Mus musculus: one gene and its partners. The protein of the gene in region 7 interacts with the protein of the main gene of each other region in a biochemical or structural test. Links are inferred from orthologs where the notes say so. Each region holds a gene or a part of one and is shown on either strand. Other genes may lie near its edges.

Region 1 (3,868 bases), on a different chromosome or scaffold from region 7:
AATGAGATCTGATGCCCTCTTCTGGTGTGTCTGAAGACAGCAACAGTGTACTCATATACATAAAATAAATAAATCTTTTTTAAAAATTGGGTTGCTACAACAATTACATTTAAAAAAAAATATGGAGCACGTCACGAATCTGCACATCATCCCTGTGTGGGGCTGAGCTAATTTCTCTGTAGTGTTCCAATTTAGTGCATGTGCTGCTGAAGCAAGCACAACAGTTACATTTCTATTTTGTTTTGTTTTACTTTATTTTTCTGGGCATGAGTTCTAGGTCTACGCTGGCCTTGCATTTGTAATTCTGCACAGAGCACTAAGATGACAGTTTTCTATGCTGTGACTTCTACTGGGTACCACTTTTAAGGACAGTAGAAAGGTGGAGGAAAGCAGTCTGGGGAGGTAGGATAATGTTCTGTCACTCTGATCTCATACCTGATTAAAGGATGTTTCCTTCAGAGTCTGGGGACCCCGTTCCATCATAGCATGCAGGGGCTCCAGCACCTCAAACATGCCTTTCACGTTCCTCTCCCCAAAGTACAAGCGAGATGCCTCTTCCAGGCCTTCATGCCACATCTCATGCCAGAGGATGGCTACCCGAATCAGCTCTTCACTCACCTGGATTAAAGGGAGAAAGAAAGATACACCACAGGAAGCTACGATTGGGAAGGTCTGGCTTGGAGACAGAAGACACAGCATGTGCCACGAGGGAGAGAGGTAATCACTAACACCCCTGGCTGCTGCCTCAAGACCGACTCACCATCATGGCCTGCTGGACCAGCGTGTTGCTGTGTTCACACATGTTCTTCAAGATCTTGTTGGCTGCATTGTGACGGGCTGTGGTGGTAGACTTAGAAGCCACCGTCAGGGGGTAGATGAGGGCCTAAGCAAACAGAGGAACACTTGTAAAGGCGAGCCACCAAAGCAACAGTCAGTGGACTCACGAGAAGCTGCTCAGGGTCTGCATGTACCTGTGGGTGGTACCGACCAATATCTGTGAGAAGCTGGTGAATGAGCCGGCCCACCAAGGGTCTGGGTGTGTCAATTCTTGCAATGAGCTGAGGTATAACCTGGTTTGGAGGAAGATAGAGCAAGCAGCACGTGAGACGTAGGAAAGGTGACTGATTCTCATGTTTTCTTCTTTGTGTTCTAGACAAGGCCCCATGTAGCCCAGGGCAGTCATGCGCCTTTTGCCTCTACCTCCCATGCACTGGGATCTCAGCGTGTACTTTGGTTTAGCAGGTCTTGAAATGGTGTACCCATTCAGTTTCCTAGCGTAGGCAAGGGGGAGTATCTGGTTTGGAGCTTGGAACCAAGCTGTGCTTCTGTGACCACTGGTGATTTCCAGAGGACCGCGACCCATCCTCACCGTCACCGAGTTCTCACCTGTAACCAAGTGTCAATCTGTATGGCCTTCACCCCTTCCACCAAGGCTTCATTGACATCTGGCCAGTGACCATAATCAAACCACAGGGTGAGGACTCTGGAAAGACAGGACAAAGTTACAGAGAGTTGGGTTTCCTGGTTCTTGTTCATTTTTCACCAGCAAGGCAGTGAATGACTGTGACAGGTAGCAGAGCTCTGAAGCCCAAGTGCTTCACCACAGGTTGGCCAGGGTCACCGAGGCACAAACTTGGCTGTAGAAGTGAGCTGGGCAGCTCTGTCCGTGCTGGGGAGGTGCCTGTCTGCAGGATGGGCAGCAGGGAGGCTGATGGGACAGGCCTCGACCCTTCCCTCTCCTCTTCCTCCATCCTCACGGGTGAGGCCTGGTAAGCTATCGGGTCTCATGGCCCAGGAGGAAAAAATGTCCCTATGCTGGCCTGAACTGTACTGACCAGAGAGGGTGACTTCCTTTAGTTACATCCTCCCCACTTCCTTTGTACCTTAGTGTATCCTGGAGGTTGTTGCCTCTTGACAAGGAGATAGAACGGAAGAAGCCTTGAACAGCAGGGACAGTGTACAACAAGAGAGTTTTGGATAAATCCTGTTGAAACACAAGTATATTATTGAAACTCTACTCTCTTACCTGTAAAATGGGCACAGTTGAACACTGATGGCACTGCCTCAGAGGGTAGGTAGGAGTGTGAGACACTGATGCTTGAGGAGCCAATGGCATATAGAATGACTCCACAAAGGCACCTGTTTTCATAATGATAGTTTGGCATAGTATGGCTTCCTGAGCAGGGCAGTAGGGGTGGAGCTTAAGGCTCTGAACATGCTGTTCTCTGTACTTTCTGGCTGCCCTGTTACAGTGTGAGCTGACAGGCCAAGGGGAGAAGACAGGGAAAGAACAGGGCAGAGGACATATCCGCAAGGCCCTGGCCTCAGTGGCCCTACAGCTGTGGCAGCCACCCACCCACAGGAGCCCTGCACTGAGAGAATGTGCTCATTGCTGGGAGAAGGAGCCTTGCTTCAGTCTGACGGTGCACACACGCCTGCACCCAGGGAGCACAGCTTCTGGCATACAATGAGGACGGCCAGGCAGTGTGTCCAGCCTGTGTACCCTGTCTCAGAGAAAGCCCAGAGTTTCACAGCCATCTTCTGTGCAGAGCCGTGCCCCAGCCTGTTCTGAGTGAGGGGAGTTACCTCAGTGACCTTCTTCTGCAGAGGGGACGGGGTGGGGCTGTTCTCATTGCTCTCAGCTTCACTCTCACTGTTGCTGCCCTCTGTGCTGGTGGCAGCAGCAGCAGAGGCTGCAGTGGTGGCTGCAGTGGTGGCATTGGTGATGTTGGCCCCGCTGGCATGACGCAGCTTCTTCTTCTCATCACGGGCTTGGTTCTGATGTTTGTAGTGTAGCACTGCTTCGAAGTTCATCACTGCCCATGCATGCCAAGCCTAGGTGCATGGGGAAGAGTCAAAGGCAGACACAGGCTAGTTCACGTCTAATGCAAAGCCCAGCGAGGTGGAAGGCTGGATTCTGAGTGTGCCTTAAGATCAGCAGAATGCGTCTCCATTGCTACATACTCCCAGGAAGTGGGCCTTACTACGATCAATGTAGCTCATCTTGAGAGCAGTAACGGCACTGGGCTTTTTGGTGAGCACTGTGAGGTCACAACCAGAGGGTCAGTGTAAGCAAAACTTAGGGCAGGTAGGGGCTAGATAAGGTGGGCAGTGGGATACCAGTGATCTGAAGGGCTCCATAAAAAAGGGATTTGGCTAAGCCTTGCCTTGAACAAGGAGGGAACAGAGACAGGCACTTGGTGTTCCTGGCAGGGAAAAAAGAAAGGCACATGGAGGGCATGTGTGCAGCTTGAGGCCCGCAAGAGTCAGGGCCGCTGGCCAACTGCTAGAGCACCAGACAGTGGAGTCTGCATGCTAGGCCAAGGCAGCTGGCTTCATCTCAGGAAGTGGGGCTTCCTGAGGTCCCCGCCCCCAATTATTTTATATTAATGGATGCTTTGTCTGCATACATGTTCTGTGTATCACATATATGCCTAGTACTTAGGATAGCCAGAAGAGCATACCAGATCCCCTGGAACTGGAGCTATAGGTGGCTGTGAGCTGACTAACAAGCAAACCTTCACTGGATGTATTTGCCAGCTCTGGATATGTAGCTATCAATAGAGGAGAATCATAGCCTGCACTCTGTGTGTGTGCATGTGTGTGTGCATGTTGCTGGAGATGGAGCCCCTTGCTCTGTGCATGTTAGGCAAATACTCTCTCACTGAGCTACATCCCAAGCCAAAGTGCACAATTTTCAGATCAGTGTGAAGCATCTGCAGAGGACAAACACTTTTTATTCCAAATGTTTCTATGGTCTTCAAATCAACTTTGATCCCAGAGGGAAGAATTTATAACTTCCTAGTAAGGATGAAGATTTTGGAAAGAAATTGATGGCATTGTTATACCAAACATCTATTACCTGGAA
Region 2 (3,868 bases), on a different chromosome or scaffold from region 7:
CCGGCTTGGCTGAAGTGTTTGCTGCCGATTCTTGGTCTTTGTAGTATCTCTTACCCCAGAGACCTGTCCTCTCTTGTCCTCCACATAGGAGACTTATACATGATAGTTGTGTTCCTCTGGCATTTATACCTAGGCTTCTCTGTCATTAAATGTTCTACTCTTGGGAGTGAATTTGGACATAAACTGATGTGGAGGGGGGGTTCAGATAACCTAAATCTAGGGTTTTAAGCAAAAACCAGTGAGTTCAGATTTCCTAAAGTAAAAACTCAGCTTATATATTGTTACAGACTTTTTTATTTTGAATAGACTTTCTTTTAAATTATTATTATTTCTTTTCATGTGGTTGGAAATATTTTTCCGGTGACATACTGTCTCCATTCAAATGCTAGGGTATGCTCATCTCTGAGGCCTTGAAATTGATGCCAGTTGACTTTACTATTTCCAGAGTTTGCAGACTAGAATATAACCTACTGTGTTGCCAGGGCAGAGTAGGATTATAGATTTGAGGCATGAGAGTACACGGTCTTTTTCCCTCTTGCTATTTAAATTCTGAGCATACTTAAATCATTAGTTACGAGCCTTTTAAAAAAAACATAGAATTGAGTCAGCTCAGGTTTGCTTCTGTTCTTGAAGAAAAATTGTGTTCAATAATGGAATAATTATGGCTTGTGGAAGAAGAGAACTGAACATAGTGTTACGTTTTAAGGAATACTGATTTATTTATTTTATAACAGTGTTGGAGAAACTTTTGGGGGGATGGTCTATTGGCCATGAGTAGACCATGAAATTTTATTTATTTATTTGTATCTTTGACACGGTAGTTTTGATCCTCTGGAGGAAGCAAGCAGACAGCCTTTGCATCCATGTAATTATCAGCTCTGCATTGTTGTTGGCGCTGGTCTCCCCTTTTCCCCTTCTTATCTCTCTCTCTCACACACACTCACACACACTCACACACACACACACACACACACTCACACACAGAGAATGGACTTGCATCATAAGCATGATTAACCTTGGCAAATCCAAGCATCTCAGTCAAAATATGTACTGATTTCCTAAACGAATAAGCTTAATTTCACACTGTATAGTTGATATATTTAGGTTCCAATTGTTGTCCTTAACACCAATCAGGGAGGTCTGGTGGGAAAAACAAAACAAAACTTGTTTTAAGGTAATATTGACAAGGGTCACTTTTTACCTTGGACATTAACTTTTGAATATAACCTCTGAGTATGGCGTGTGATGCTTACTCCACTATGATGGGATTTCCTTATATTGAAGACCTATGTACATGAGTGAGCCCAGGTGGTTCATTGTGTCTGGGGAGGATGTGGAATATAAACACCAGGCAATGCATGCTGTTGGTGACTGCTTCTGGTGGGGGGAGCAGGTGGAAACTAGGAGGGGTTGTGGTGGGGCATCACCTCACAATTTTGAGATGGGGTTTTATTTTGCAGATTCATGCTTTGATCACAGGCCCATTTGACACTCCTTATGAAGGGGGTTTCTTCCTGTTCGTCTTTCGGTGTCCACCTGACTATCCCATCCACCCACCTCGGGTCAAACTGATGACAACGGGCAATAACACAGTGAGGTTTAACCCCAACTTCTACCGCAATGGGAAAGTCTGCTTGAGTATTCTAGGGTAAGAAGAGACTTGTAAGAGGCCAAGTTGGTATTAGCAAATAATCACTCTAGGACAGCCTTCATCAATTAGGGTTCCTCTTCTGAACCCACCGCACAGTGTGATTGAGTATTCAGTTCTCTGGGTGGCACGTGACTGGTGTCATCTAGATGGAAAGGAAGAAGATCACGTTATTACATGTAAGAGTGTCTTAGGAAATGGTTTACTCAGTGCAGCCTTTGAGCTGCCTGCCACAGCAGCATCTGCAGATTTGAAGGTCCCATCCTACAAGTGTATCTCAAGCTCTGGGGTGTGGCAGCCGTCTGCTTTTTAGAGGCCGTACGGATGGTTATGCTCTATGCCCCTTTGAGAACTACTCCCTTAGGAAACATTAGGTCCTTATTTTCCCCAGAGGCTTGAGAAAGACCCCAGGTCTGCTGTATTCATGCAATGGGTGTCTGATTGGAGCCTCTTAGTGGGCGCCTCTGGAGGCAGTGGTGCTAATAATGATTATGAGAATTTAACAGTTGATTAAAAAAAAATTAAGTGCTTGGAAATAATACCCGAAATGAAATGGGTGTCACGTATACCCTCCAGGTCCTACTGGGAAGTTACTTTGTGGAGTTCTTACTCATTCCATATCAAGATACTTGTAAGATATTCAGAATGAAGAATGTCTTGTAGCCTGCTTTGGATCCTTTTGCAGTCCAGGTTTCCTTGAGGTAGAGAGTAAATCTGGGTTGAATAGTGAGGAAGTTGCTGTAACTCGTGATGCTGTTTGTTTCTTGCATCCAGCACATTTCTAGGATTGTGTATGAGAAAGGCAACTGAAGCACATTAGAAATGTGGGGTCTCTCTCTCTCTCTCTCTCTCTCTCTCTCTCTCTCTCTCTCTTTCTCTCTCTCTCTCTCTTTCTTTCTTTCTCTTTCCCTAGAACTCTCAAATCTAGAGATATGGTATACTCTTCTGGGATTATAGCAGCTGGAAAGTTCCATTGAAGGAGATTATGTATAATAAGTCCTTCATCTTACTAGGCTACATTAGTATCTTTGCTGGTGGGGTTGGGTGTGTGTATGTGTCCCTTGATAGTATGGAAGTTAAGTCATGGGTTTGGTATGAAGTTTGTTCTTGAAAGTATGTGTGTAGTAGGTTTTCCCTCAGTAAGCTATTATGAAGCCATCCTGGATACCAGCTCATACAAAGATAGTATTTGAGTGAAAGCCACAGAAGTTTGTTGCACGGTATTAAGAGATCCACCCTGAAACAAATTTTACAGGTCAGAGTCCTGGAGTAAGAAGGTTCTTATGTAGTTTTAGTTGGCTATATTAGCTTTTTGGCCTAATCCCCTCTCTTCATAGCTGGAAGTAACTGTCAGGGTGACTAGCTGCTGAAATGTTGTGAGAACTAACCCTGTTGATGGGAATTGCTGTATGGAAAGTGGGCAACAGCACTGGAAGAGAGCAGTCGCTGCAGTTTCTAATCCAGACTTGGGTCTTCCTTCAGTGTACAAGTGAAAGGGTAGTGGTTAGTTAACTTAAGCCAGTCGTGGCTAAGGTTGTGTTCTGTTTCCATCTCTCATACCATCTTGTTAATTAATTGAGCTAAAATAAATACCTGTCATGCATGGTAGGACAGATTTCTGTAAGTTCAAGGACAGCTTGGTCTACTTAGCAAGTTTTAAGACAGCTAGGGTTACATTAGTGACACTCTACCTTTAATTAATTAATTAATTAATTAGTAAGTGACACCCTGTCTCTAAATAAATAGAGGAAGGAAGGCATTGACGTTCAAGTGCCCCACTCTAATACCTAAAGTGGTTTAGCCAGGAGTGGTGTAAGGGCGGAGGCAGGAGGATTGCTTTTAAATTTAAGAATAGCCAAGGTTGTGTACCAAGACCCAGTCTTAAAAGTGGGAGTGGGTGGGGGTGGGATATTTTCCCTGGTGTTTAAGTTTTCTATCTGTTATTTTAGATATTGTCCCTCCACATTCTGAAAATGTGCCATCGTTTCTGTCTTAGTAGAGTTGTGTGTCTTCAGAGAATTTGACTCTGCTTGTCATATTACAAAGCTGAGTCTATAAACTTCAGCGTGTATCCTCATAGGCAGTAGCTTCAGTCACCTTTATGCCTTTGATTAGCTGCTCTCCTTTCACCAACCCTGTCACCAATAACTAACTATAAGCTCTTTGAAGTCACAGGCTAGCATTTAGACAGCCTTTAGAGTTATTTTCCCTAACTTGGGT
Region 3 (3,868 bases), on a different chromosome or scaffold from region 7:
ACAAAAGCAGCTCTTAAATGATAGATATCTCTCCAGTCGCAAACATGGAAATTCTTAATTTAAAGCAACGCAGGAAGTTAATTTAAAAGTTATATTTACAAAGTCATTAATGACTTCATGTAACTACATTTTGAATGTGAGACAAAACTAGATATTCATGTTATTGATGGTGAAAAAGTTTGCCTTAAGCCAGGCAGTGGTGGCATCTTTAGTCCAAGCAGTTGGGAAGCAGAGGCAAGCAAATCTTAGTGTGAGGCTAGCCTGGTCTACAGAGAGAGCTCCAGGATAGCCAGGACTGCACAGAGAAACCCTGTCTCAAAAACAACAACAAAAACCAACAAAAGGTTTACCTTAAGAGCTTTGAGTTGTTCTGTATTTTCTCCAGTTGGTCTATCTCTTTGGATAATCTTGCAATTTCCTCTTCCAGATGTTTCTGAGTAACATCAACTTGTTGGCACAGTCGAGCAAAAGTAGTGGCCATTTCTCTAAAAGAAAAAAAGTGAATGTTTCCTAAAATGATCACATATTAAAGAGAAAAACTTTTTTTTTTTTTTTTTTTTTTTTTTGAGACAGGACTTCTCTGTGTAGCCCTGGCTGACCTGGCTGGAACTTGGACCAGGCTGGCCTCAAGCTCAGAGATCTGCCCAGCCTCTGGAGTGCTGGGATTAAAGGCACGGCCACTATGCTCCTCAGCTAAAGAGGAAATCTTTCATAGCTAAGCCACAGGGCAGCACGGCACTTATAAACGTTATTGTAATTAAAGACTGCAGCCAGAGCGCCGTGAATACAAACGGGATGTGACCACGCAGAAGGCAGACAGACGTTAAGACTGCTAGAATAAATGAGGCAGCACTACAAGACGGGCATGCAGGAGAGGACTTTCTGAACAGAGCTCCATTAGCTCAGGAATTAAGGCTTACAAAGCCTCTACACAGCATAGGACATGATCAGCCAAGTGAAGAGACCCCTGGGGTGGGGGTGGGGGCAGAGTTTTTGACAGCTGTGAATCTGACAGAGGACTAATATCCAGAACTTAAAAAGAACTAAAGAAGACAAAGAATCAAAAACAAACAAACAAACAAACAAACAAACCCCAAACTGCCTAATTAAAAAAATAGGCTTTGGATCTGAACATAGTCCTCAAGAGAAGGAAAAATGGATAAGAAATATCTCAAAAACTATTCTGTATTCTTAGCAATCAAATTAGAACAACTCTGAGGTTTCATCTTGTTAAGGCATAGGTGACATGTTAAGGCCTAGGTAACTATTACCTGTGTAGCCTACCATTTTGTGCTATTACTAATAGAAGGAAATTTTCTCATATACTGTTAGTGCTGTTACTTTGGTGTTCTTGGAGACCAATCAAATCCCAGTAGAAATCAGTCAGCCCTGCTTTGCACAGTTACCTCAGTAAGCTTGGAACTGAACCAACCACCCAGCAGCACTGCCTGCGCCTGTGTTTGAGCTTTTAGGGCTTCTTGCCTTTGTAAGCTGCCCCTGGGATGGACCCCGACAGAAGAAAGACCTGCACCAATATAAGAAGCTATTTGGAATAAGACATCCATTTTGAGTAGAGATCAAGTAAAGTTTAAGTTCCCAAGACTTCCTTGGGAAATAACATTCTGCTTAGCAGAGAGAGATGTATACATGGGTAACTGAATCCTGGTTGGCAAGTTCAGACATGAATGTTAGGTAAGTCCCTGCCACAGCTGAATACCCCAACCAATACAGGATAAGTATACACTAACACATGTTCGTAAGGAAATCTCCTATCCCTAAATACTGATTGGCACAGATATTTGTGGATTTTTAGATCTTCCTGCCACATGACCCAGCCGTCCCACTGCTCAGCAAACACCCCAGTAGACCCCCCTCCCCTCCCCACCATAGACACTTGCTCAGCCATCACCCTCCTTAGCACCTGTCCACAGTGAGAAATGGAACACACAAATAGCCTTCATCTGATGAACAGATAGAAATACACACACTACGGATTACTGTTCTGCTGGAAAAAGTGGAAATCACGAACTCTTCAGGTAAATGGATGGAACTAGAAAAGATCACACTGAGGAAGGTAACCATACCCAGAAAGACAAACACCTATTCTCATTCTCTCTCTCTCTCTCTCTCTCTCTCTCTCTCTCTCTCTCTCTCTCTCTGTCAGTTAGCTCCCTCCCCCTCTCTCTCCCCCGATTTTTTTTTTTGTTTGTTTGTTCTGATGCAGGATTTCTCTGGGTAGCCCTGGCTATCTTGGAACTCAGCCCTCAAATTCAGAGACCTGTTTACCTTAGCTGGGACTGATAAAGCTATGTGCTACCACCTCCCAGCTACACGTTATCTTATTTATAGATCCTAGCTCTGGATCCCCCCACCCGCCCCCACCACCCACACACACACACACACACACACACACACACACACACACACACACAGAGTTTAAAGGAAGTTTCACCACTTTGGGTGGTAATACTCCCCACAAGAGTCAGAGTGTCTAGCAAAAATCTCAGTGCCATGCATGGAAAACCTCCCTGCTGTGGATTTGCTTTAATGCCTGCCTTACGGGTTCCCAAAACCGCACAAGAATTCAGTATGAGAGGTGCTGAAGGTCCCTGCCCCCAGCTGGATCTGACTGGAAAATAAAGTTGCCGGTGTCCGATGGCTGGGCAGGGAGAAAGAGGGGGGACATTATATTTCCTGGGCAAGGGAACTCAGGGAAGAAGATGGATTTAGAACCACCATGCCAGCAAAGTAAAAGGGTCAGGCCTGAGAAGTTCAGGACAGAGAGACAGCTAACACGTAAGATGGGGATTGCGGCCCAGGAGGGCTGCAGGCTGGGTCAGCCAGGGTGGAATATAGGTTTTACTAAGTAATAATTCAGGAATGTGAGAGGGGAGTGTGTGCTAGTGGAGGTTTGGGAGCGGCCCCACCATTGAGCTGCTTAAAATATTAAAAGTAAGGCTGTGTATATATGTCTTTCATTCAAAAACCCACAACACTGGAGTGATAGCAAGGAATTCATGCTGCCACAGGGTGAGGAGAATGGATTAATATATTACAGCAACACCTCCCCTTGAGTTGCTAGGTAGGGGAAATATAAGAGAGTTCTCAAAACTACATAGGCTATTACGTTGCTTGCTTCCCAGAACTTGAAGGTAAAACCATATTGCTGAAGACAGCACACATCACCTCAGACATAAGACCTGGTGAAATTGTCTAGAACTGACATGCAAGAAGCACAAGCTCTAATGGTATCCAAAGGAGTCATGTGCACTGCCTACGGAGAAAGGCAGTCAGCAGTCCTGGCTGGTTTTAAAAACTAAGGGCCACAACAATGACCTCAATGGTACAACAGCAGCACTTCTTGTTTTGACCTTGTGTCTCAGTTTTACTAGTTAATTCCTGTCTCCTGTCTAAATAATTCCATATAGTACACCACTAAAAGTGACTGGTTTCAGAGCTAAGTTACTGAAACATCCAATCATCCAGATTCTAATCTCTGCATATCGAAGGCCCTGTCCAGGAAGTCAAATCCCTTGAACCCACACTGTCCGCACTAGAATTTCTTTCTTCATATTCTTGAATACACTTCGTATGCCAGCTGCTCCCATAAAGCCTTTACTAAGGGCTGCTCTCTTTGGGCATTACCTGCTGGGGTGCCATCTGCCCCCATTTTCCCTTCCCCTACATGTAATCTGCTTTGTCCTCTTTAGGCTGAGAGCCTCTGGGGCTGCTTATTTAAATACACAATACTGCACCTTGTTTTAAGGGAATTCAATATATTTTTACAAATATTTAATTGTTACAAAAGTAGAAACTGGAGGTTTGGAGCAATGGCTCTGTGGTTAAGAGTACTTGTTGCTATTGCAGA
Region 4 (4,554 bases), on a different chromosome or scaffold from region 7:
AACAAAACCAAACTAGCTCTGAAGCTCATGGTCAGGCTCATCCCAGGGATGGCCTCAGTTCATGGTACTACTTTACAAGTTTGTTTTCTTGCTGATGGGATCAATACCCGACACACAGAAGTTAATTTTGCCTTGGGGTTGGAGGGGATACCGTCTATCATGGCGGCAGGTGGCTCCAAGGCGGCAGCAGTGTGTGACAGCTGCTTACTCACCGGGTAGCTGACTGGGAAGCAGAGAGAACTAGAAACTAAGCTAATCCTAATCTCAAAATTCACCCCTATCCAGCTAGTGGAGGTTCCACCCTGACCAGCAAACATGTGGGCACGACTCACATTCAAACTGTCGCAGGGAATCGGGGCTGCCACATCATTTGGATGTGTTAGACTAACTTATGCTTCTACAGGCAACAGCAGGAGGAGCAGTGTGTCCTCGAGGCCTCCTTTTGACTTGTGGGTGGGGCATGCTTGGGAGGGTTATGCGTGTGGGATTTTTTTTTTTTTTAACCTTACATGTAATTGGAGTAGCATCCTAATATTTTTTTTCTTTCTCAAGATAGGGTTTCTCTGTGTAGCCCTGGCTGTCCTGGAACTCACTCAGTTGACCAGGCTGGTCTCGAACTCAGAAATCGGCCTGCCTCTGCCTCCCAAGTGCTGGGATTAAAGGTGTGCACCACCACTGCCTGGCTCTAATATATTTTTTTAAAAGATTTATTTATTGTATGTAAGTACACTGTAGCTGTCTTCAGACACCAGAAGAGGGAATTAGATCTCGTGACAAATGGTTGTGAGCCACCATGTGGTTGTTGGGATTTGAACTCAGGACCTCCAGAAGAGCAGTCAGTGCTCTTAACCGCTGAGCCATCTCTTCAGCCCCCTTAATATTCTTTTTTAAAACGACAAATGTGATGAATCTAATGCCTCAAATCTTTTGAGTTCAGCTTCTTATACTCAGGGTCCCAGCAGGAACTTTCTCTTTGTCCCTACACCTAGTCCTGAAAGCCCCTTTTTTCGGAGAGCCACGTCCCGAGCTGTATCCCTCATGTCCACTTAGCGAAGGCAGTGGTGCACCTAAGAAAATACCAAGCATCTATCTGGCAGTTCCGTATGATGAGGAAGTACAGCTTACTTGGCAGAGTCTGAGTTTTTTTGGCCAGAGAGGATGGGATATGGCCCGGGAACTTTATCCTTCCTTTGTGAAACCAAGGTACTCTTTCTCTTGCTAGAAGTGTCATCTCAAATCACCTGGGCCTCAAAAACCAGGTGTAGTGGCACTTGGGAGACAGAGGTAGGCAGGTGGCATCTCTGTGAATTCGAGGCCGGCCTGGGCTAAATAATGAGTTCTAGGACATTCATGCCTACAAGGGGAAAGTTTCACGATCTGGACAGCCACTTCTGAGGGGCGAGCCCAAGCGCAAGGACATGAGTCTCATTCAGGAACAATCCATGATGAGCCATTAGCTCTCGCACTATTTTTCAAGACTAAAGGGCCGCAGGGCGAGCTGCGCAAAGCCTCACGGCGGCGTAGGAAACCTTCAATGCTGAGGGTGTGGCCGGCCGAGAAGATTCTGGAAGCCGAGCTCCGTCGACCCGGGCCATTACCCGGGGAGCGCGAGGCGAACCCCAGCGAGCCTGTCTGAAGCACCCGGGTGCGCCACGTCACCCGCGCGCGCCCCGGATGCATTTGCGCCCGGAGCCCGCGACCCGGAAGCAGTCGTGGGCGTCGGAGCGGGCGGGCGGGACCGGCGCGGATGTGGCGAGGCTGCTGAACGCAGGTTCCGCGGTATGGCGGGGACGGCGTTGAAGAGGCTGATGGCCGAGTATAAGCGTGAGTCAGGCGGCGCCGCCTTCCTGTCCTCTTCCCCATAGTCGCCCGCGGCGTGGCCCGGCATGGCTCGGCTCGGTGCGGTGCGGTGCGGGGGTACTGGGCCGGGCTGCGAGATTCCGCGTGCGGATAAAAGGCCAGGCTGTCGCCGTCACCTGCGCACCCCAGCCAGCGGCAGCGGGGCTGGCCCTGGGCTCAGAAGCCGGCCGGGGCAGCGCCGCCGTGGCCCTGCCACCCGGGTCTGGTCCCTAAGCCCCTGTGTGCTGCGCATCTGCCCTCCCGACAGTTGATGCTGCGGGGCGAGTACCGGGTAATCCCCGTAAGGTGGTCGAGCCGTCGAGGGGAGTTGGGGGAGAAAGTTAAAAATAAACAAGATAACGCCTCAAACCCCCGGCCACGCCGCAGGTGCGAGTTGCTGGGGAAAACCAAAGTTTCTCGGACACGGGCTCCGGACAGTTTCCTTGGATCCGGATCTGTTTTTCTCTCTGTTTTACTTTTTCAGCTCTGTGTCTAGATTGAGACACATCCCCTTTATCTAAAAAAGAGGGAACAGCATTTAAGCTCCGGGACAGGGGTTTAAGTTTTGACCACTTCTACCCAAGGGTATTCACATTAGAGAAAAACTTATCCGCCACAAAAAGCCTCTACTCGTACGTCAGACAAAACGTATTGTCACTTAATTTGAAGTTAAGGTTGTGAATCATCTCCGTGTGAGAGAGAGAAGGAATTTGGTTAAAGAGGGAACTCTAAAATAGGAAGGCTGGCGAGGGGCTCAGGGGGTTCACAGAGGAGAAGGACTCCACCTGCTGTGGCTTCTTGGAAGAGGAAAAAAAAGGGCAGGGAGCTAAGGGTGGCCCCAGGCTGACAGCTAGTCTGGGACCAGTGTTACAGCCATACGGAACTGAGTTGTGCCAGCGACTTGAATGGACTTGGGTTGCAGCCCTGAAACAACCAGCTGTCTCGGCTGGGCCCAAGCCCACATGGAAACCATGAGGTCATCAATGGATATTGTTTAAGCCTGTGGCAGCAGTGATGGAAATGCATCCAGCAGTACAAAGCACGAGGAGCGAGGGAGGGAGGGAGGTTTTTTCCGTGTCCTTGTGAATTCAATAAAAGTCCCACTGAGTGTTTTTCTTCCTTTATGGTATAAAAGGTTTGTCCTCTGTTTAAGACCATGTACTCTAGTATTAGGTAGATTCAACAGGAACATCCAGGTTGAATTAGAACATCCGAGGTTGGGCTAGAGCGAAGGTGTTCTTGCATACCTGATTGTACTGTAGATTTAGAGGCGATATGACCTTGAGTGTGGTTCATTGTCTAACTTTTTTTTAATGTGTTTTTTATGTGTATTTTTATGAGTATTTTGATTACACATAGGTAAGTGTGTCATATGTGTGCCTGTGCCAGTGGATGTCAGAAGATGACATCAGATCCCCAGGGACTGGAGTTACAGCTGGTTGTGAGTCTTTGTGTGGGTGCTGAACTAGAACCTGGATCTTCTGCAAGAGCAACAAAATCTATGAGTCATCTCTTCATCCCTATTGTTTTTCAGGCTCCTTGTTTTTCTTTTATAGCAGTTGAATAACAGATATAAAACGATTAGACTGTGGTCATATCACAAAAAGAGCCAAGCGAAGACCTTAGACTGCTCCCAAGTGCAGTGTCCTGTGCACGCAGAGGCGGATATTGAATGTCCCACTCTGTCGCTCACTCTCCACCCTCTTCTCTTGAGACCAGGCCTGTCATTGAACCTGGAGCTCATCAATTCAGCTAGAATGGCCAGCCAGTTAGCCCCAGACATCTTCCTGTTTCCTCCCTTGCCTCCAACTCTGGGGCTACAGGCACCCATGGTAAATAAAGCCTGCCTCTTTTTCATACGGGTGCCAATACTCGAACCTGGTTCCTCTGTAAGAACAGTGTGTGTTCTTGTGTCCTTGTCATATGTTTCCACAGCTTTTCTTCTTACTGTGACAGACAAGGGAACAGTGGTCCAGGGCTGTTGTAACATTGTCACCACTCAGATACCATAACAGACAGCATCTCATGGTTTGGAGATAGAATTAGAAGCCCACTTGTGGCCTGGGCTGTCACCCTAGGCAGGGTGGGCTTTTGGGGAAGGTCCTTCCTCCCTCTCAGCTCTAGAGTGCTGGCTACTGCGGGTTACTTAGCTGTGCTAGTGTAAGTCCTTCCTCTCCTGTACCTTCCTGTGGCCATCTGAGCCTGGGTGTGTCGGTATTCAGATTTTTCCACTTGAAATGTCAACAGTCACTGGCTTAGGGCCCAGCCTAGTCAGAATGTTCTGTATTTAATTCTGGTACATCTGCTGAGACTGTTTCCAGACAGTGTCACAGTTCCCACATTGGGGTAGACTTGAGATTGTTTTACAATGACAGCTGTTTTTGTGTATTTGTGGGTGGGCAGGCGAGTGCCACTGTGCATGTGCAGAAGTTAGGACAACTGACAAGGGTCACATCTCCCTTCTGTGTGGAGCCTGGGAATTTCGAGCTTGGCCTGTCAGACGAGGCAGGAGGTGTCTCTGCCCACCAAGGCAGCACGTCAGAGTAGGGGCGTGAACCAGAGCAGAGCTGTTCACCTAAGGCCAGACACGGGAGAAGTAGAAAGGCTGGGTCCCTGCATTCCCCTTAAGGATCTGCTCTCAGTGCCTCCCCTGCTTGTTGCCTGGCCATGCTGCTGCTCCCTGCTATGATGCACTGCCTTTTCATAAGCAGGCAT
Region 5 (3,868 bases), on a different chromosome or scaffold from region 7:
GCGTGTGCACACACACACACTGAAGCATTGTTAAAGTGAAATAGTACCAACAGAGGTGATGCAAGTGTACATACGAGGTTTCAAATGCAGTGGCCAGCAGCGGGGCCCAGTGATTGCATAGCCCATCAGGAGATAATCTGCAGTAAATGTTCTGACGTTCACTTAACTATGTCATTCAACTCTGCGTGACACTCCCATTCACTTGTCTTGAGACAGGGCATTCCTAAGTGGCCTGGCCATAGCCTAGAACTTTGGATTTTCCCAGGAGCTGAGGCAAGGTGTGCACCAATGTGCCCAGGTTCATTTTCCTCTTAGAGGTAGTCTGAGGCCACTATGTTAAATTGTTTAAACAAAATGTCTTATATCCTTCATATTTGGGTAAGGGTGAAGACCATGCATTACAGCTCTATGACCTGTAATACTCTGGAGAGGACAGATGACACGAGTGAAACTCCCTGGGTGTGGAATGCCTCCACGAGACAGCTGACAATTACAGTGTGAACTGCTGCCTGTGTAGGGCATTGTGGGTGAGAGCCTCATGGAAGCCCAGGCTATATAGCAAGCTCTAGGCCAGCCTGGGTTGCATTGTGAGACTGTCTCAAGAATAAGGAAACTGGCCAGGCAGTGGTGGCGCATGCCTTTAATCCCAGCACTTAGGAGGCAGAGGCAGGCGGATTTCTGAGTTTGAGGCCAGCCTGGTCTACAGAGTGAGTTCCAGGACAGCCAGGGCTACACAGAGAAACCCTGTCTCGGAAAAAAAAACAAGAGAACTTGGTAGACCAACTCTAAAAGGCAACTCCTAGTTTCTGATACTAGACAGAGTTAAGAACAGCTGCTTCAAAGATAGTATTATCTTTATTAAAAATTGATAGACATAGCAGCACTTACAAAATAAGAGTTCATGAAGGCAGGACATGCTGTTGGCTGACAGTGGAGAAGGGCAGCCTAGGCCAGGCTGTGGGCTCTGCATCCCACACTTGCTCACAACCACTGGTCACAGCCTATCAACAGCAACCTACAACACCCGAGCAGAGGCCAGCAACCGCCATGGCGTGGCCTCCTTAACTTCAAGCTTGTGTCATCTGTGTGAAGAGTCCAGTGGGTCAAGTAGCACCCTCCTTAGCAGCTTCTGGAGCACTCAGTGGTGTTCTGGAGGTGGCTGGTGTACTTGACCCTATAGTTAAAACACCTAGCATTCAATAAAAGCACTTCCATCCAAGGCATCTTGCAGACCCCTGCTGCTCCGGAAGAGATGCACCTCTCCATAGAGCACAGCATCTGCAGGGGCTCCTGACCTCCAAGGCAGCACAGGGAGCTCCAGGCAGCTGCTTCCACACCACTGTCTTTGGAGGCAATGGCAGGTTTGGTCATTCTGTCTCCTGCTCGCTGCTCTGCTTCTTACTGCTGGGTGGGGGTGTCAGGACCACACTCGGAGGAGGAGAAATCCTATTCTGTTCTGACAATATGGCTTTCTTTGCTTGGGCTTTGTCCTACATAAGAATAAGAGGGAAAGTTGTCAAAGTTAAACAAAGTGTCGTTTTTCTTGCTGTATGTTTTTAATATGGAGGCAAGAGGGAGAAATAGCAAAAATTATAGTTAGGCTTGGTGGCAAATCCTACCACTTGAGGGGAGTCAGACTTCTGAGTTCAAGGTCAGCCTGGGCTATATCTAGTAAGAACTGGTCTCAGTAAACAACCCCCTCTCACCTAATGTCTATAGTATTCGCATACTGAGACACAGACTCTATGGACTAGAAACATTCTTAATGGAGTTAGAACTGGCTTTTCCTTAGGCAGAGTTGGTTAAGTACTTGTCTGATGGGAGGGAGCAAGGAGATTACTGACCAGCAAATCCAAGCTGTTGGTGTGGGTCTGGATGTTGTGGGAGTCTTCCATGGGGACTCCCCGGAAGTGCTTGAGCTTGGAACTTCCCATCTCCCGGATAACCATGGCGAACGGAACCATCCATTTGACACACTTCTCTATGTCGCACCACTGATAACCTGCCAGTAAAGAAGTCAGAGGCTCAGTCCGCAGCTGATAGCTGGCTTGTACCTTGAAGACACCTTGTCTGTGAACTCACAGGAAAGCCCAACATACCTGAGACCTTCTGCATCAACTCCAGTGAGGAGAAATGATACAAAGCAGAAGCAGCGAGGACACCATAAGGAAATTCTAAGCAGCCAACATCCAGGACGCACAGGTCTAGAAGCTAAGGAAGACAGGAGCACTAAGACAAGATGCCACATGAAGCTTCTAGAAGCCCCTGAGCTGTGGTGTGCCACACAAACACACAGTGGGCAAGCAGAAGGTCCACATACCTCTGCGATCTGCACGAAGACCTGCTGTGGGTACTGAGGCATCAGCACCTCACCCGTGTCGTTGACATAGGCCACTTGGACATAGACATTCAGCCAGGACACAATGGTCAGAGGGCTTAGACGCCACTTAAGGGCCTAAAGGAAAGAAGTGACAGTTGTGAAAAGCTCAGCCATAGTCCCTGCCACATGGCTAACTGGATAAGACCCACGGTGGTGGTGGGCACACCACACCTTGCAAGGGAAAGACAGTCTCTCTCTGTCTCTCTGTCACACACACACACACACACACACACACACACACGATATTAATGTGTAACCTGCCTTCATCATCATCAATTCCATGGTAAGAATTTCATCCCCGGAGCAAGCGCCATCTGTAACATAAGCAAACTGGTGCAACTTTGGAGGGTAGATTTCCTAAAAGGGAACAGAAGGAAGATGCTATTAGAAGAAACCGTTCCTAGCACTTTCAGATTAGGACATGCATCCAAAATGGCTCTAGTATGCTGACGTGGAAAGAGGATACAATCAATGGCTCAACACTGGCTCACTTCAGCAACTGAAAGCATGCTAGCTATAAGAAGTAAAGCTAGCTGGCTGTGGTGGCCTTTAATGTCACAACTCCAGAGGCTGCTGGATCCAAGCAAGCTAGAGCTACAGAGATTCTGTCTCAAAAAGACTCATGGATAAACTGCTTAGACTTCTTCATTCACCCTATAGTCTATAAAGAACCCCACGACAACCCTTTTTATATTATTTTGAGGGCATGCAGGCCTCAAACTGCCCATTCTACCTTAGCTGTCTAAGTGTTAGGATCCCAAGTGGGAAACCACTATGCCACAATTTCAATCTCTTCAGTCCCAAGGTCAATTATGGTTAAAGTAGCTACTAAACTAAATGATCTATGGCCTTGTTCCTTACCCGCCTCCACCTGACACTGTCTACCTTAACTTAGAAGCGTCAGAGTTAAGAGAATTCAAGGTGCATATGACAGTTGTTCATAGGGGCAGAATTTAAGAAATAATGCTTATCACACAAAGAATGTTAGGGAGGTTTTGTTGTTGTTGTTGTTTTTGTTTTTTTTTACCTCAAGTTTTGAAGCAATAAATAAGGCTGAAATCCCAATAAGCTGTAAAAGTGTTTTTATGATATTATGTTGTGATGCCATGTAACGATCAAAGAAGTCCTGTGCCAAGTAGAACGTCTCTCTGTGGAGCTTATAGACTTCGCACACCTGGGAAAAGGATTCCATGTTAGAAAAGGCTCCTGAGGGGCAGCACAAGCGAACTTGCCTGACTTTTGACACAGTAAGAAAGCTAACTGCTTTTATGCAAGGCTGTCACCCTACTCCTCCTAAGCACAGCCCAGTGAGACCCAGGAACTGAGCACACTATGACTTACACAAACAGCAAGAGCAAATCAGCCAGGCTAGGTCTGACCAAAGTAGCACTTTTATAGAGACCACTCCACAAAGTCTACAGTTCTAAGAATGCAACCCCCTTCACAGGTTTCACCGTGACTCAGAAAAAGAACTGGTATAGTCTTCAC
Region 6 (4,351 bases), on a different chromosome or scaffold from region 7:
CTGCCATTTCTACTTTAATGTTTCTTTACCAGCTGTTTCTGAGTGGCCTCTCATAGGCCAGGCTGACAAGGAATGCCATGATTGTTCTTCACTCCCAAAGGTTTTCTGAGGGTAGGAACTTCTCCAGTCAACACTCAGTTTGTTTTTCTTTTTACTGGAGAAAAAGGTCCAGCTAAAAATCAGCAGGGTTCAGTGCATTATAGTTGGCTTCTTCTGACCCTCAATATCCTTAGAAAGGAAAACTCTGAATTGACCTACCTGGCTTACCATGACCATGACCATGACCATTATTACCATTACTCCTGGGCTTACCATTCTTGATGATGTTTCAAGCCTGCTAGGCCAGTACACTACTATCCAAGCTATCAAATAGTTTTACATGTTTTTGTTTGGCATTTTGTTCATGAGACAGACTCTCATGGAACTCACTTTGAACTCACAGGACATCTATCTGTCTGTTTCTGTTTCCAAGGGCTGAGCTGACAAAAGGCCTGTACTACTATGCCCAGAACTAAGTTTCTAAGTTCCTTAAGCATACACAAGCTGTGTCTATGGGAAAATCTATTTATTTGTACTATACTGACAAAAAGAAAACTACTTTGTATACCTGTCCATTTTCTCCTTATGTCTAGCACAACGTAAAAGCCCCAGTGACATCACAGCTAATGTCCTGCACTGGGGCAGGAGTGACATCACAGCTAATGTCCTGCACTGGGGCAGGAGTGACATCACAGCTAATGTCCTGCACTGGGGCAGGAGTGACATCACAGCTAATGTCCTGCACTGGGGCAGGAGTGACATCACAGCTAATGTCCTGCACTGGGGCAGGAGTGACATCACAGCTAATGTCCTGCACTGGGGCAGGACAGGTCAAAAGTAGAACAGAGAGCTCAAGGCCGGGGTTGATCAAGAAAGGCCATCCTGAGCAAGAAGGATAGAATCTAGGTTCTGGGAGATTCACAGGGGTTCATCAAAGACCCTGGAGAGACTGAGATATAATCAGACCACTGAAACTGATAACAGTTTTACCAAAGCATCAACCATCTCTCCAGACCTCAACAGCAACCATTTAAAATGACCTGAAGTTACTCTATCAGTCCAGTTAGCTCACTAAGACAGCATACCAAGTTTCTGAATTTCAGTTCAGGGAAAACAACAGAACAAACTGACAATCTTTGAGTTCCAGGCTCACTACTCAGCAGAGAGACCCGAAGCCATTTAGACCTTCCATTTCATTTAAAATTCTTTAAAGAATGCCATTCCCCAGCAGCCGAGTTTCTGTTCCTTACTATGGCCAACCATCTCAACAAAAAAAGGGGGTATGAAAGGAGAGGAGAGGCAGGCTCCCAGGTATCTACTAGAGATTATTTTAAGGAACACAGGATCAGAGAATGTGACTTAAGGTTGACAGAGGTAAATTATCCACCTGGTTTTTTTTACACAAGAGAGAGATTATCGCTGGGTGAACTAAGTGGCTCACTTCTGTAACAATCAAGAGGCTGAGATAGAAGTGCTAAGTTCAAGGCCAGCTTGGGCCAAAAGAGACCTTGTCTAGTAAAACAAGTCTTTCTGAAAAGTGTCAAACTGAAGTTTTTAAACAGAAAAGAAAAAAAAAATCCAAAAATAACTGAAATAATTTTACAGTTATTCACTGATTCTTTCATCTCCCTTAACTCTCCAAACAGGCAAAGGTTCTTCAAATTCTGCCAGAAAACATGACATTCTTTTAACCGCTAATGAGAGTTAGTTATTCCTTAAGCGATGTATGGAGAAAACCCTATTCAGAAAACACCACCCCTGCAACAGGTGAAGAGGAAGAAAGATGGTCAGAACTAGTTTTAACAGAGTTGCCCAGGAAGGTACTCTTAATAATGAAGTATGATGACAGCCTCCGGGAAGTCAGAGATTCGTGATTACTAGGATGAAGACTCTGAAATCACATTGGGAGTCACTCATAAAAGTAATGAGGATTCTTGAAACTTCAACAAGAAACGGACGAGGCCAACCACAACTCCTGCATATGGACGAGGGCACTAACAAAACCAGAAGCAGCGAGCAGTAGAGAAAACAGGTGGGACTCCCATGCCCCATTTTCCTGCCTGAGAACTCACGAGAACGTCGTTGAAGCCTCCCTCCCTGACATGCAGCACGAGGCCACTGGGAAGCTCGGATGCCTGTGGAGAAAGGAGTGGGATACCTCTTAGCGCTGGTGGAGAGAAGCTTCGAATTTTTGCTCATGCTGACTTTACTCTCCTTCTTCTTGGGGGTGCTGCCTTCTTTCTCGGTCTGCTGGTTGGAGGACGAAGATGACGAGGAGCTGGTGCTGGCCCTCGAATCGTCATCCGACATAGCGAACCCCCCACCCCACCCCGCGAACGGCCCCTGCAGGGGGAGGAAACAAAACAGAAACACAGACCATGCAGGCGCTGCAAAGAGGGAAGGAACTCCGCTGTCAGGAGGGCGCGGGCCGGGCCGCCCCCGCTGCCTGCAGAGGCTCGGGGCCCACCGCCGCACCGGCCGAAGAGACACGGGGGCCACGATCGCGCGGGGGCGGCCCGGGGAGGGCCGGGAGCCGCCGCCGCGGTCCCCCAGGCCTCCCGGCGTCCGCTCGAGTTTGGCGAGGTCGGGACGAGCCGAGCAGCGAGAGTGGGTGAGCAAGCCGAGCGTGGGCCGCGTGGGCCGCGGGGACACGGCTCCTGGCCAGGCCGGGCCACGCGGGGCTGCGCTCGCAGGCCGACGCGCACAATGCGCCCCGGGCGGGCGGGTCCCCGCGGGGACCGGGCCGCTCTGACAGTTCGCGCGGCCCCCGCCGCCCGGGCCCGCCACGCCATCCCGGTCGCCCGGCCCTGCTGCCCGCGGCCCGGCGGTGCCGCCCGTCCCCCGGCCCCGCGGCCCCAGGCCCCGCGGCCCGCCCGCCCTGAGGGGCCCCCGCACCTCTCTTTGTGTCTGGCTGCTCCGTGCCGCCGCCGCGGCTGCTGCTGCGGCTGCGACTGGGCCTGGCCACTCGTGTCTCGCTCTCACTGGGAGAGAAGCGGAAGTGCAGCAACAGCAACTATTAACCAGGCAATGGCTTCCCCGGCCGCACACGCTCCGCGCCACTCCTCCTCTCCGCCCCGCCCCGCGCCCCTCCCCCGCCGCACCTGGGGGCCGCGGCCCGGGAGCCCCGAGCGACCCCGGCTTGGCCTGGGGACGCCGCGCCGGGCGGAGCCGAGGCAACCGGGCGGGATTGGGGGCCACTGGGGCAGGTGGAGCCCGGGGTGACCAGGGGAAGTTCTTCCCAGGAGGGCTTTGGGAAAAGGCTGGGGAGTGAGGGGGCCGGTGTGGGGAAAAGATGGTACTCTCCTGGCGAGGACTTTGACTCCTCCCCAAAAGTGATTCGTTTGAAAAGAAAGAATGGAAGAAAAGAAGAGAAGAGAAGAGAAGAGAAGAGAAGAGAAGAGAAGAGAAGAGAAGAGAAGAGAAGAGAAGAGGAGAGAAAAGGAGAGAAAAGGAGAAAGGAAAGGAAAAGAGGAAAGGAGAAAGGAAAGGAAAAGAAAAGAGGAAAGGAGAAACGAAAGGAAAGGAAAGGAAAGGAAAGGAAAGGAAAGGGGGAAAAGGAAAGGAAAAAGGAAAGGGAAGGAAAAAGGAAAGGAAAGAGAAGGAAAAAGGAAAGGAAAGGAAAGGAAAGGAAAGGAAAGGAAAGGAAAGGAAAGGAAAGGAAAGGAAAAGACCCCTAACAGGTTTTTCCTTTGAGCTGATGACACTTGTTCCTCCCTCTGGCAATTACGTGCTTGGAGCAGAGGTCACGCCTGTGAGAAAAAACCCAGACTGGGATTCTGTTCAGGACACCAGGCATGTGCAATTTTATACTAGATACCACCCTCCTTCCCCTTTCACTTGTTATTGAAAAGGATGTGGACTTTTTTTTTTTTAATGTATGCAATTGGGGTTCGGGACAGGTAACTACGACCGGGCTTGGGATTATAAGATCACTGAAAATAAACCTTGAGCCAATGATTTTGACAGGACTTGCCCTGGCTGTCCTGGAACTCACTTTGTAGACCAGGCTCTCCTCGAACTCAGAAATCCGCCTGCCTCAGGATTTGGAATTCTTAAATTAGATATGTCTGAGTCTTAGTAATGGGGAAAAAAAGTTCTAGAAAGCACCCTACTTTCTTTTTACTCCAATATGATGCTATTCAAATAATATTTTTAGGATAATCACACAACAATGCCACTAAATTGTTCCTTGTGTGGCACTGTACCGAAATTTATTTTTTTTAATTCCACCATTAAATTAGGACTTAGTTTCTTACCAGTTTGCCGTTTACCCTGAAGGGAACAGACCCCTGCCATCCAAGTTCACAGAGAT
Region 7 (2,876 bases):
CTCTCTTCAAAATATCTATCTATCTATCTATCTATCTATCTATCTATCTATCTATCTATCTATCTATCATCTATAGTGTGTGTGTGTGTGTGTGTGTTTTCGCGTGCACGCGTGCTCGCGTGCTCAAACCCACCTGCCTGAGTACCATGCGCCTGAAGGAGCCCATAGAAATAAGAAGAGGGCATCAAATTCCCTGGAATGGGAGTTTTAGGCAGTTGCAAGCTACCCTCTGGGTACTTTCAAGCTGAACTCTGGTCCTCTGCCAAAGCAGCAAGTGCTCTTAACCTCTAAGTCATCTCTCCAGACTCTCCAGACCCAGTTTCCCTTGTTAACACTTATCTGGGCAAGTCTGTGAGCAAGGCAAGAAAGTGACTGCTAGGTTTCAGAATGAGATCTTGTTTTGAAATACTGATAATTAGGAGAGCAGAGCCCCCAAGGTTAATTATGGAAAGAAAAGAGACCAATTCCCCCCCCCCCCCAGTGGCTGATGCTTCCAAGTTCTCGTTTAGATGATCCAGAGATGCCCCTTCTATAAACACATATGAGAGGTCACAGAGAAATGCGGCCCATCTTCCCTCCCACATCTCCAAAATTGATCAGAAATGCAATCCCAAGGATAGGTACAAACACGCTTTTGATTCTTTCATTGACAGTCTGGGTCTTTATTGATTGACAGTCTGGGTACCACCACACACACAGACTTCAGGTATTTCTTAATACACTTCACAGAAAGAGAAAGATTGCTTTGCAGAGGTTTGATTTCCACTCTTCTGACATCCACTTTTATCCCACTATTCACACTCACACAATGCAGGCTGTGATTCATGCTCACACACTGTGGATGCCTGTCTTTTGGGTTATTTTAAGAATCACTATTGTATTCTGAAGAAAACATATGCATCTGTTAGGAAGGAAAAGGGACCATACTGGAGAGCCACAGAGCTTCAGGGAGTCCCTTTACCCAAAGCAGAACAGCAAACATTGTCCTGGCTTCCCAATGCGATTACGTCACACGGGTGTGGAAGGAGGCAGAGGCAAGCACAATGATGGAAAAAAAATAGTGATGGGTGACATCAGACTCCTGACTGCTGCTTGACAGGTGGTCTTTTCATTTTGGGAGCTGGCTGGGTGGAGTCTAGGGCCACTGGGACAAAAGTGTGAACTTAGGCCAGCTGGCCTTTCCTCACACCACAAGATAACATCATTTCTATATGATTTTTAGCTCTAGGCCTCAAGTTTGGTAGCCCCACCACCACCAAAAAAAAAAAAAAAAAAAAAGCAAAAGCAAAACAAATAAAAAACAGGAAAAAGAAAAGAAAACCTTGAAAGATTAACACTTGAGTGTGATGCATGTTGATCTGAAGGCTATCTTGGTGTGTGTGTATTGCCCTGTCTGTAGGACCACTGGGTGGATGGGGCTCCCTGGGGCTTAACAGCAGAGGAGGGAGCAGATATGCAGAGGTGTCCCCACTTGTGGTGGAAGGGGTCAGGCATACTCTCATTCAGATGGTCGAGGGATGCTCCTTCTATAAACATTGTGTTTCTTGACCCTGTTGTTAGCATTGGCGCAGCATCATGGGATTGTCTCTTAAAAACGCCCCCTTTATAGGCACTTTCTCTGTTAAATTCACAGTGAAGCTAAACTTCCAGGCTGCAGTAGGAATACTCCAAACCAAATTGCAGACTTTGTTATCTTTTCAGGGGGAAAAAAAGATCATTTCTTTCTAAAGTTGCAGATAATGAAACGAACGGAAGTAGGTTTGGCTTCTGAGTCCTCCCTGCGATTTAAGCAGTCTGCCATCCAATTAGCTTTCCTAGGTTCTCACTTGGTTGATAAGCTGATTAGTACACAGAGGGGTTGTAATCTCATCAGCACCATTTGTAAAGATAGGATTTGGGGGGATAAACAAATAGTTTTGACTACTGCAGGGGGCCCTTTGGGAATAGATGATTACTACATGAGAGCAGCGTTCCTCAGATCTCAAGTGTGCTTCTGAGAATCCTCAGAGGTGTTACTTACCCAGGGCGTGGCAACAACCCTGGAAAACACTTCCCACCTCACTCATGGCTTCTACAGAATCCAAACCAAAGGTGCACCCTCATCTAAGCTCTGACATTCGAGTGAGCCAGAGGCTGAAAGTGCCTCCTCCCCCTGGGGCCAGCGGGTGCTGTGGTTTTCTGTGGGTGCCCTGGAAAGGATCTAGGGGCTGCTTCTGTAATCTGCAGCCTGTGTTTGTGTGTGCGCATTTATGTGCTTATATGCATCGAGAAGAAGAAATGGCTAAGGAAGGTAGGAATCTTCGGAGTTTCCCTTGAGGTTGTGCGTCCAGGGCCAAGTGACATCTCTCTCTACACGTCAAACCAGTGATCTCCCATGCAGGCTCGGTTCCACTCACAGCCACAGTTCCAGCACCACTCCAGCTTGCACTGGGGCTGAGGACACTTCATGTGCATACATCCTCCTGTGGGGACAAAGGACATAGACGCTGTGGGTTTGTAACAAATACGGGCGAGCCCTTGTTCCCCGTGCCAACCTGCCATTCCAGAAACAGCTCTTGTAGTGAATAACAACCTCAAGCAATGAGAGCAGAGAGACTGACCCAGAGTGAACAACCAGACAGCAGCGGAGGCAGCTCCTGGGTCCGGATGCTCTAGAGAAATGGAACAAATCCCATCTGCATATCTGAGGTTCTCTTCTTTTCCCTCATTTAGACACAAATTGTTCACATTTTATAGACAGCGATTCTTCATTTTAAAAAATATATAACCATAATAAACACATGATTTTAAATTCATATTAAAAATTTAGTTACGTAGTATAAAATACACCGAGGTTCATATCTATTTATTTTTCACATATTTATTCAGTGTTACTT

What was found.
Region 1: of the proteins of Prkn (region 7) and Mtor, one has a biochemical effect on the other in vitro, tested with the Homo sapiens proteins (2 studies listed by BioGRID). The link is inferred for Mus musculus from reciprocal best matches to the Homo sapiens genes PRKN and MTOR.
Region 2: the proteins of Prkn (region 7) and Ube2z form a complex in vitro, tested with the Homo sapiens proteins (2 studies listed by BioGRID). The link is inferred for Mus musculus from reciprocal best matches to the Homo sapiens genes PRKN and UBE2Z.
Region 3: of the proteins of Prkn (region 7) and Mfn1, one has a biochemical effect on the other in vitro, tested with the Homo sapiens proteins (3 studies listed by BioGRID). The link is inferred for Mus musculus from reciprocal best matches to the Homo sapiens genes PRKN and MFN1.
Region 4: the proteins of Prkn (region 7) and Ube2g2 form a complex in vitro, tested with the Homo sapiens proteins (6 studies listed by BioGRID). The link is inferred for Mus musculus from reciprocal best matches to the Homo sapiens genes PRKN and UBE2G2.
Region 5: of the proteins of Prkn (region 7) and Ccne1, one has a biochemical effect on the other in vitro, tested with the Homo sapiens proteins (2 studies listed by BioGRID). The link is inferred for Mus musculus from reciprocal best matches to the Homo sapiens genes PRKN and CCNE1.
Region 6: the proteins of Prkn (region 7) and Ube2e1 form a complex in vitro, tested with the Homo sapiens proteins (2 studies listed by BioGRID). The link is inferred for Mus musculus from reciprocal best matches to the Homo sapiens genes PRKN and UBE2E1.

Annotation. Positions count from the first base shown.
Region 1 is NC_000070.6:148,535,478-148,539,345, reverse strand, and holds part of Mtor (serine/threonine-protein kinase mTOR), read right to left. Parts: intron 2,836-3,868; coding exon 2,587-2,835; intron 1,985-2,586; coding exon 1,884-1,984; intron 1,484-1,883; coding exon 1,387-1,483; intron 1,071-1,386; coding exon 972-1,070; intron 884-971; coding exon 761-883; intron 619-760; coding exon 436-618; intron 220-435; exon of another isoform or gene 116-219; intron 1-115. UniProt on the Homo sapiens protein: Serine/threonine protein kinase which is a central regulator of cellular metabolism, growth and survival in response to hormones, growth factors, nutrients, energy and stress signals.
Region 2 is NC_000077.6:96,058,717-96,062,584, reverse strand, and holds part of Ube2z (ubiquitin-conjugating enzyme E2 Z), read left to right. Parts: intron 1-1,460; coding exon 1,461-1,648; intron 1,649-3,868. UniProt on the Homo sapiens protein: Catalyzes the covalent attachment of ubiquitin to other proteins. Specific substrate for UBA6, not charged with ubiquitin by UBE1. May be involved in apoptosis regulation.
Region 3 is NC_000069.6:32,570,851-32,574,718, reverse strand, and holds part of Mfn1 (mitofusin-1), read right to left. Parts: intron 486-3,868; coding exon 351-485; intron 1-350. UniProt on the Homo sapiens protein: Mitochondrial outer membrane GTPase that mediates mitochondrial clustering and fusion. Membrane clustering requires GTPase activity. It may involve a major rearrangement of the coiled coil domains.
Region 4 is NC_000076.6:77,620,593-77,625,146, forward strand, and holds the start of Ube2g2 (ubiquitin-conjugating enzyme E2 G2), read left to right. Parts: upstream 1-1,728; 5' UTR 1,729-1,781; coding exon 1,782-1,824; intron 1,825-4,554. UniProt on the Homo sapiens protein: Accepts ubiquitin from the E1 complex and catalyzes its covalent attachment to other proteins. In vitro catalyzes 'Lys-48'-linked polyubiquitination. Involved in endoplasmic reticulum-associated degradation (ERAD).
Region 5 is NC_000073.6:38,097,148-38,101,015, forward strand, and holds the end of Ccne1 (G1/S-specific cyclin-E1), read right to left. Parts: intron 3,555-3,868; coding exon 3,408-3,554; intron 2,738-3,407; coding exon 2,642-2,737; intron 2,456-2,641; coding exon 2,321-2,455; intron 2,212-2,320; coding exon 2,100-2,211; intron 2,003-2,099; coding exon 1,845-2,002; intron 1,491-1,844; coding exon 1,368-1,490; 3' UTR 837-1,367; downstream 1-836. UniProt on the Homo sapiens protein: Essential for the control of the cell cycle at the G1/S (start) transition.
Region 6 is NC_000080.6:18,328,753-18,333,103, forward strand, and holds the start of Ube2e1 (ubiquitin-conjugating enzyme E2 E1), read right to left. Parts: upstream 3,093-4,351; 5' UTR 2,935-3,092; intron 2,383-2,934; 5' UTR 2,350-2,382; coding exon 2,198-2,349; intron 2,175-2,197; exon of another isoform or gene 2,144-2,174; coding exon of another isoform or gene 2,112-2,143; intron 1-2,111. UniProt on the Homo sapiens protein: Accepts ubiquitin from the E1 complex and catalyzes its covalent attachment to other proteins. Catalyzes the covalent attachment of ISG15 to other proteins. Mediates the selective degradation of short-lived and abnormal proteins.
Region 7 is NC_000083.6:12,061,127-12,064,002, reverse strand, and holds the end of Prkn (E3 ubiquitin-protein ligase parkin), read right to left. Parts: intron 2,463-2,876; coding exon 2,350-2,462; 3' UTR 637-2,349; downstream 1-636. UniProt on the Homo sapiens protein: Functions within a multiprotein E3 ubiquitin ligase complex, catalyzing the covalent attachment of ubiquitin moieties onto substrate proteins. Substrates include SYT11 and VDAC1.